Linked DNA regions of Oryzias latipes. The protein of the gene in region 1 purifies or fractionates together with the protein of each later gene. This does not show direct contact. Links are inferred from orthologs where the notes say so. Each region holds a gene or a part of one and is shown on either strand. Other genes may lie near its edges.

Region 1 (4,296 bases):
AATGAGTTATCGCTATATAACTCATCGATGGCTGCAGCCACAAAACAACGTTATTGCGTCCCCTAGCGGTTCAGGCACCCGGCATGACTCACCGGGGATTTTCCTACTCGAAGCCCTGGACCTCCCCCACCCTCCAATGTCAACTGACAGCTTTCATTCGTCTACTTGTCCGGACTTCACTTGGATCAGCTTGAACACGTTTGTAACACACAGAGGCCTCTCTATAGGCGGGTTCTCCGTTAGCTTAGCGGCTAACTGTTGACGGCTAACTTTACCTGCAGGTTTTCCTGTTCGTCCACCAACAGGAAACTCCGCGCGCCGCCGGGACCCTCTTCCGGCTTCATGGAAACTCTCTCAATTTCCTTCATCAGGACCTCAGACATCGCTGCTCAGGTGTTTATGTCATAATCGGGACGCGGGAGAAGAAACGAAACTTCAACATGACTTGTAATCACAACAACAGAGCGTGCGTACGGAGGGCGGGGCGAAGGAGGACGTAAACTTCGACGTCACCCCCACATTCTGTGCGATAGAGTGCTTTAGCACCACCCTGTGGTCAAAGTGTAAAAGGCAGCTTTGCCATTCATGAAATCAGCGATCACGGCATGATTTCCTCACTCAAAAAAAAAAAAAAAAAAATCTGTGAATTATTTCATGTTTCCAATACGTTTATTTTTATAAAATAAAGTTTAATTTAGGACAGTATTGATGTATTTGTTATTGTCCTTCAAAACATTCCCTTTGTTTGAAAATCTTCCTCACAAATAACACAAAAACTGTCGCAGGGCGTTTGGTTTGAGCAGTGGGGCCTTTTCGAGCTGCTTGCTAATGTTCATTAAATATTTGTTAGCACAGATCTATAAATATCACATGTCACTGGATTCAGAGTGGTGGCTCCACTACTGTGGCTCCACTGCCAAACTGTAAAGACAAATCCAGGCCTCCTTGCTCCTACCCCTCGTCCTCCTGCCTCCCTCCGTCCATCCCTGCAGCAGACGACAGGAACAGCACGAATTGGAGGGGTTCCCACTTCTCAGGCGAGGAGGCAACGACAGACAAATGTCTGAAAGAATCAATTACATGCCCACTCTCAATCTATTAATGAATAATTAAAGGTGCTCGGAGCTTTGAGACACGGCTCTGTGCATCCAACCACATCTGAAAGTTATCATGCACACTTGTTTTATGATTTTCCAGTGTTTCAGGCTGTGATGTCTACCCCCTCCTGTGCACAAGGCAAAAAATGATCCAAATGCAGTTTTGTTTGAATCCTTTAAGACTATTTTTTGTTCGAGATTCCTGTGTGGGATCAGTAGTCCCGACCTCTGTCCTCACATGTGAGGCTGATCTCCATCCCGAAGCTCCACCAGGCTCAACTGGACTTTTTTTCTATACATTAGGACAGGGACGGCTCTGCTTACCTTTCAAGTACGAGGCGGGTCGCTGAACCACTGGAACCCCCTACCCCCGCCGGTATTTGTAGTCATCATCTGTTGTCCGTCCTCCGCGCCGCCGTGCGCCAAAACTACAGTTCCCACAAGCAGCCACGGTGCGCTCCCGCCTCCCATTGGCTGTGCGCTGAAGCCGCAGCCCCAGAGAATGAATGAAATTGAAATGCTACATTACATGTAGAAAACCACCGGCTCTGCGGTGTTGCATTCTATCACACTATATCAAAATGGCCACAGCGGTGCAGAACCCCCTCAAATCGTGAGTACCGTTCATTCTCCGCTCCTAACATCCGAGCATGCTGTCAGCGTCATCTCCTTATGTTCTAATTCTGATCCTGCTCCACCACACGCTTGATGTAAACGGCGGAGACCGAGATTATGATGCCAATGAAAAGTTAGCCTATTTTGCGGGATTTCGTGTCGGTGTCCTTTTTTTTGTCACTGAGTATGCGCTGCGGTTCCTCACATCCCGTACCCGAGCCAGCAGCAGCGCGCGCGCGTATGGAGGAATGCTGGGGGAGCTCTGGGTGACCCGGCATGTCCCTTGCCGGTGTATGAACCCAAAAGATCGGTCAGATCCAGGCTGGGGGCTGAGTCGAGCTAACATGGCCCTCCAGAACCTGTTAGCGCGCGTCTTTAGAGGCAGGACGGAGCTCGGAGCGGCTTTCCGGCTGCAGCCGAACTACTGGACCTGTGGGAGATGGAGAGGCGGAGGTAAATACACTGCGTCTCCCACGCTGACTCCATCTGAATGGGATGCCGGCGCTTTGTACCCTAGAGTGAGATGATTATCAGCCGGTGGCGTGTTTAAAGCGGCCCCTTCTCCCTAAAGTTTGTCCGTTAACGGTCCGTTTTGCACATGTTTTTATTCGGAAGGAGGGGGGGGGGGGGTGTCTTTTTCTGGAGGAATGCAGCGGCGCGCGCTGATGCTCCCGGCCAAAGACAGAGGTAGCCACCGCGCGGCTGTCAGCGGGTGCTGGCACTAATCTCCCCCGCATAACGCATAAAGGCGCAGGCACCAACCCGCCGGCACCACAGCGCTCCAACTGTAGCAGTTTGAAACAAAGAAAAGTCTGGAGACCTGCGCGCCTCGGCTGCTTCACCTGAGCGCACAGACCGCGCCGGGGCGCGCACACGCCGGCGACATTTCACGCAAACCCAGATCAACGAACAGTTTGGAGCGTGGACGGAACTGCCAATTAAGAAACTGCTCTGAATGGCTGTGATGGTATTTCACCATTTGTTGTTCAAATCATGAGTGAATCGTCAGGTGGGTCATTTCCATCCACACAGTCGCTGTTATTTGACTGTTAAATGTTTATTTTGAGGCGGGCAGGTGACGTTGGGATGGAGAATCTTCAGGATGTGGCTCTCCTCTGTTTTCTCTTCTCCACTTTCAACTCTTCCTCCATTGCATGCCCAAGCTAAGCAACCGTGTGGCCAGGTTGCGCCCAGAGACTTTCAGTGAAACCATGTCGGGATTCATTTGACTGATTTGCAAGGAGTCTGCAGCAGAACTGGGAGGCAACAGGAGAAAAATGAGAGGAAAAAAGTCAGAAGGCAGCTGGGCCAGAGGATAATGAACTACATCCTAGTGTTGAAAACACAGACTGTCCAAATGAGGGATGACAAAGTGTCTGTTTGGACCTTCAGTGCAGAACCCTTAAAAAGCTGAAAGTCTGCATCAGGTTTAGAGGTCTTTCCTCTAGATGACTTTATCATGGTCTGGTTGAAGCACCAAATGAGCTCTGATATACACTCTTGAAATTAGCATGTTTGCAAACAAACTTGTTATGGAGACTTGTAAATTAGAGCCCCCATTCTGTGAATCGAGCCAAAGAACCAAAGACTTGGTTCAAAGTCAGCCCTAACAGGGGGGGCTGGCTGCGTGCCGGAGGCAGAAACAAAGCCTGTTGTGTCCCAAAATGTCTTTAAAGCTAGCTGAGTCTCAGCAGTAAATTGCAATTAATTCCGTGTTTGTTAATTCCCATTGATGCCCAGGATCCAGCCAAGCTGTGCAGCCCGCTCATGCTCGGCTGGACGTGTGTGGACGTACAGTGGAGGGTTTCATGTGTGTGCAAAAGCATATCAGCAAACCAGCTTCATCCAGTCGGCCTCTCTCTGCTGGATTAGAGAATCATTTAATCTCTCTTACTCTCTATCCTTTTTTCCTGTGATTTCCTCTCTGTCCTCCCATCACCCCCTCTGCCCAGTCTTCCTCCTCGTCTCCCTCCTTCTTTGCCACTTTCTCAATCCATCACTTGTTTCAGTCCATCCCTTTGTTTAACCATTTCCTCTTTGCCTTGCTTTCCCTTCTCCTCTGCCCATTTTCCACAGGACTTCTGCATTTTGAATCAATGGCAGCACCGTGTTTTCAAATGCAGTGCGAGCAGCAGTGAGGGGAGCTTTCTTTGCATTTGATCACATTTCCCTTCAATATTTATATATAAATATTATATATAATATAGAATTTTAGGATTGCTCAAGAGGAATTTATTTTCAGTTAAATGCAAGCCACTGAAATGGATTTGTGGAGTTGCAAATACTTATTTAGCTTAAAAGACAATGTGAACCTCCCATACTTTTGAGCGTTTGTCCTGAAATGTCGGTGTTAAAAGTGGTGAATGTGTCCTTTGGAGTCACACAGGAGACTGTTTGAGTCAAAGCTGCAGTGGATGAGGCATCTCCTTCAGCAGAGAGCTGGTTAAAGGGGGAGATGCAGATCAGTGTGTGCTGTGGTGTTGGAGGCAGTTGTGGCAGGTCCTGTCTAATGATATTTCTGCCCTGCCTGACTGAGCCCAGCTAAATGAGTTCCATGTAATAACTGGCTCTGTGTGCAAACAGC
Region 2 (3,937 bases), on another chromosome or scaffold:
TTTACGTCCAGCAGGAATTCTGTGATTTATCAGAATGGAGCTGTGAAAGAAAAAGTCTTGGGCAAGATTTGCACCACTGACATTTCACACCCAGCCTCTTCCAACTGTGGCAGATATAGTAAACAGTGGGGAAAGAAGAAGAAGAAGCCCCTCCCTGCTTGCCCAGTGTGAACTTAGTATTTTACCCTTTCATGGGTCAATTATGAAACGCATCCTCAGTGATAAACGAGGCAACTCTGGTTGGTCCAAATATGATGGACATGTTTTGTCAGTACTGACAGCCTCGGGTCACAAGCGTAACTTCACTATATGTCACAGTGTGACAGTCATGATAGTTTCAACCAGAACCCAACATGGCTAAGCTAAACGTGGATAGCAACCGCACATTTTAAATTATGTTAAATGAAAAAAAGTCTACCAAAAAAAAAATCATTGAAAATAATAAACATTTAGCAGAAATGGTGTTTTGGTGGTGATGGCCTCAAAGTGTTTTCATACCCTCCCTTCACGACAGGGGTTTTCAGGAGTGGCACAAGAAGGGCAACACAAGATTTAAAGATCTGTTTGTGGACAACACCCTGGATTCATTTGAGCGGCTAAGCCGAACATTTGGTAGATACCTGTTAGGCAGTATCTTCTCTCTCTCGCTGGAGACCGGTTTGGATTTGAAAGTGTGTAAACAGACCAGACGACACCGTGTGGCTGCATGAAGAGCTCAGATGTTTATGGATCATATATCTAAGAGCAACAGAATTTCGTTGTCACAAGTTTCTTGTGTAACAATGATAATAAAGGCTTTCTGATTCTGAACTTCCATTAGTTTGAATCAGAAAGCCTCCCTCTAATTCCATGTTGGTGTTTCCGGCCCTTTGATGTCTCTGCGGTAAAGCTGCTTTGTTCTTTTTGTGTAAAATACCAACAAAAATGACAAAGAGTCAAACTTTTTCTCTTTTTATGGCGATTTTTTTTACAAGTGAGTGGGTAAAAACAGAACAGCTGTGTTCCTGCCGCGGCGGACACCCTGTACCGGCTCTGGGGGCAGACCTGGGGGGCAGAGCGGAGGCGGCTGCGGCTTCTTTGTTCCGCCGCTCAGCAGGATCTGATCTGAGCTCAGCGCGCAGCCGCAGCCGCCCCCCCCCTCTTCCCCCGGAGCCGCGCAGGCGCACTGGCCTCTCTGTGCGCTCTACTGTTTGCATTGTGTCTGAACTGCCGGCGAGCTTTAAAAATATTTTAGCAGCGCGGAAATGTCGGGCAGGTCGGTCCGAGCGGAGACCCGGAGCAGGGCCAAAGATGACATCAAGAGGGTCATGGCCGCCATCGAGAAAGTACGAAAATGGTGAGTAAACGCCGGGAAAGGAGCGCTTCGTTACCCGGGAGCAGAAAGGCTCTCTTGTTGGGGGAGGAGAGGGAAGAAGCGAGACGGAGACGGATGAAATTGAAAGAAAACGACGTTTTCTGGACGGCAGATCCCGCCGCGGCTCAGGTGCAGCGGTCCGCACCGGCGTACCGGTCTTCGCCGGTCGGAGGCGGGCTTCGGCGGGAACCGGTTCGTCGCATAGCCGCTGTTTTTCCGCCGATTTTTAACGGCTAGGGCTGAACCCAGAAGAAGCCATTTCGATGCAGTCACATGAAGCCATTGCTGCTCGCTGCGGAGCCGGGAGCGCGAGCGGAGCGGCGCCGGCCAAACGAACACCCGGCGCGGACGGAGGGACCGTTCGATGACGCTCCGGAGTCCGGGCTCTTCGGCCCGCGAGGAGTTTTAAGGCAGCGCTCGGAGTCGCCCTTCGGGTCCGACGGAGCAGCGCTCGGTCGGTGGGGGTTGGGAGAGGGAAGTCCGCCGAGATGCATGGCTGAACGCGCAGCCAGCGGCGCCGAGCGACCGGTTCGCCGCGGAAAATCACCCTTTAACCGCCTTCAGCTTCTCCGCCGCACATATACGGTTATCACCCGGACACGAGGAGCGTGGATCCAGCCGCGTGACCCCGCCGGGGGGCGGTATTTTTTTCAATTTCTGCCTGTCTGGGTGGATTAATCAAACGTCTCCAGGTCAAAGTCAGAAGTTTATTTTTTTCGATTAAAGTTAAGAAAATAAAACGGAATAAACAAACCGGAACCAGAAACTTTAGGCGGGTAAACAAAACAGTTTCAGTCAGTTATTCCCCCAAATTTAAAAAAAGTTAAACATTTTGTTTGTAAATTGCAACAATTCATTCCTAATAAAAAATATTTTTAAAACACATTTTAACTTCTGTTTAGTTTTATTAACATCAGTTTAAGGATTAAACATTTGTTTCAGTTTACATTTTTTTCTTATATATGAGAAATTTTAATACCAAAATTGTTTATTTAGATAGAGGGATTTTACCTTAACACCTAAATGTAGCTTTTTTAAAGGTTTAAGTAGTGATTTAGAAAAACAAGGGAAATAATCGAATCATACTGATCAATAATCAATATATTGATCATTTAGTGACATTATTTTTATAACTTTTTTGTTGGTTTTTATAAATTATAGAAAAATATTTTTTTCCAACACACACTTCATATTCATTTATGAATAATAAAGCTGTTTAAGATTTTTGTATATATACATCTGATCGGTAACTAATCAATAATATAATTAATGTATTTTGTAAAATATAAAAGTAATAAAATCAGTTTGAAATCTTAAAATAAGATTTTTAAAGAGGAGAAAATAGCATTTTTCACATAAATCCCTTTTAACATATATATTTAAAGGATTTATTATTGATATAATTAAGGGGAAAAAATCTTCTTTTGATGTGATTTTTGGTTTTTTAATGAAAGGCGCTTCTGTCAGGATGATGAGGTTTTCCCCTTAAAGTCAGAGATGCTTCCTGTCCTGATGGTTTCCTCTCTTCAGGGAGAAGAAGTGGGTGACGGTGGGAGACACGTCCCTCCGCATCTACAAGTGGGTCCCGGTGACGGAGCCCAAATCTGAGGACGTGAGTCCGCCTCTGACACCTGTCAGCCGGGGTTTCTCTTCAAAATGGATGATTCTTATTTTCCGTTTTCAGAAAAACAAAAACAAGAAAAAGGGCAAAGATGAGAAGTACGGCTCAGAGGTGACGACCCCGGAGAACAGCTCGTCTCCGGGGATGATGGACATGCACGGTGAGGCCCCACCCCCCCACCTGAGGTCACAGCTGGACATGACAACAGGTCGTTCTCTGATGAATGTAAATAAAGGCTGAGCGTGCTTCTCCTTCAGACGACAACAGCAACCAGAGCTCCATCGCAGACTCGTCCCCAGTGAAGCAGGAAAACAGCTGTAGCACAAGCCCCGCCCCCGAGAACAACGCCGCCACGCTCCGTGAGAACAGCGAGACCAAGAGCGAGCAGAGCCCGGACAGCAAGAGAGGTCAGAGGTCAAATGCAAACAGCAGCTGGTTGGAGCCAGCGACCCCTCGGCGCAGCTGTAGCCTCAGCGCCGCCCTCAGGGAATTCAACCGTCAACCGTGTTTTCCAGACGGGCTCTGATTGAGAGCACAGAGAGGAAATGAAGTCAGACAGTCTGAGCCAATCAGAAAGGCTCTGTGTGAAGCCCCGCCCTGATGCGTTGTGAAAACGGCGCCCTCATCATGGCCGATCTTCAGAAAGACCAATTAAGATTTAATTGAAGCAAAACTGAACGAATCCAATACTTTGACGGAATAAAAGACAAACCTTTATCCCAATTTGTCACAGAATTCCTTAAATACGACCAATTCAATTTATAAACCCTAAAATTACAACAATAGTTGTCCTGATGGGCTTCAATGTGACGGAGAACCTTTACATCTCGTTACAAGTTGCAGTTCCTTCATTTCACCACAGGGTGTCAGTAAAGCACCACAAAAGGGACTGCAGTTTGATCCAAGCTGTGACCTCTGACCCACAGGTAAGACCACGCCCTCGTCAGAGACCTCAGAGAGAG

Evidence for each region. Proteins that work in one complex are often made in the same cells at the same time.
Region 2: the proteins of dpf1 (region 1) and bcl7a purify together in Homo sapiens (affinity purification with mass spectrometry; 3 studies listed by BioGRID and IntAct, counting the BioPlex papers as one, with this or other methods). This does not show direct contact. The link is inferred for Oryzias latipes from reciprocal best matches to the Homo sapiens genes DPF1 and BCL7A.

The regions. Positions count from the first base shown.
Region 1 is NC_019871.2:18,133,554-18,137,849, forward strand, and holds the start of dpf1 (zinc finger protein neuro-d4), read left to right. Parts: upstream 1-1,496; 5' UTR 1,497-1,603; coding exon 1,604-1,710; intron 1,711-4,296. UniProt on the Homo sapiens protein: May have an important role in developing neurons by participating in regulation of cell survival, possibly as a neurospecific transcription factor. Belongs to the neuron-specific chromatin remodeling complex (nBAF complex).
Region 2 is NC_019870.2:1,211,988-1,215,924, reverse strand, and holds the start of bcl7a (B-cell CLL/lymphoma 7 protein family member A), read left to right. Parts: upstream 1-1,137; 5' UTR 1,138-1,244; coding exon 1,245-1,336; intron 1,337-2,884; coding exon 2,885-3,135; intron 3,136-3,232; coding exon 3,233-3,382; intron 3,383-3,901; coding exon 3,902-3,937.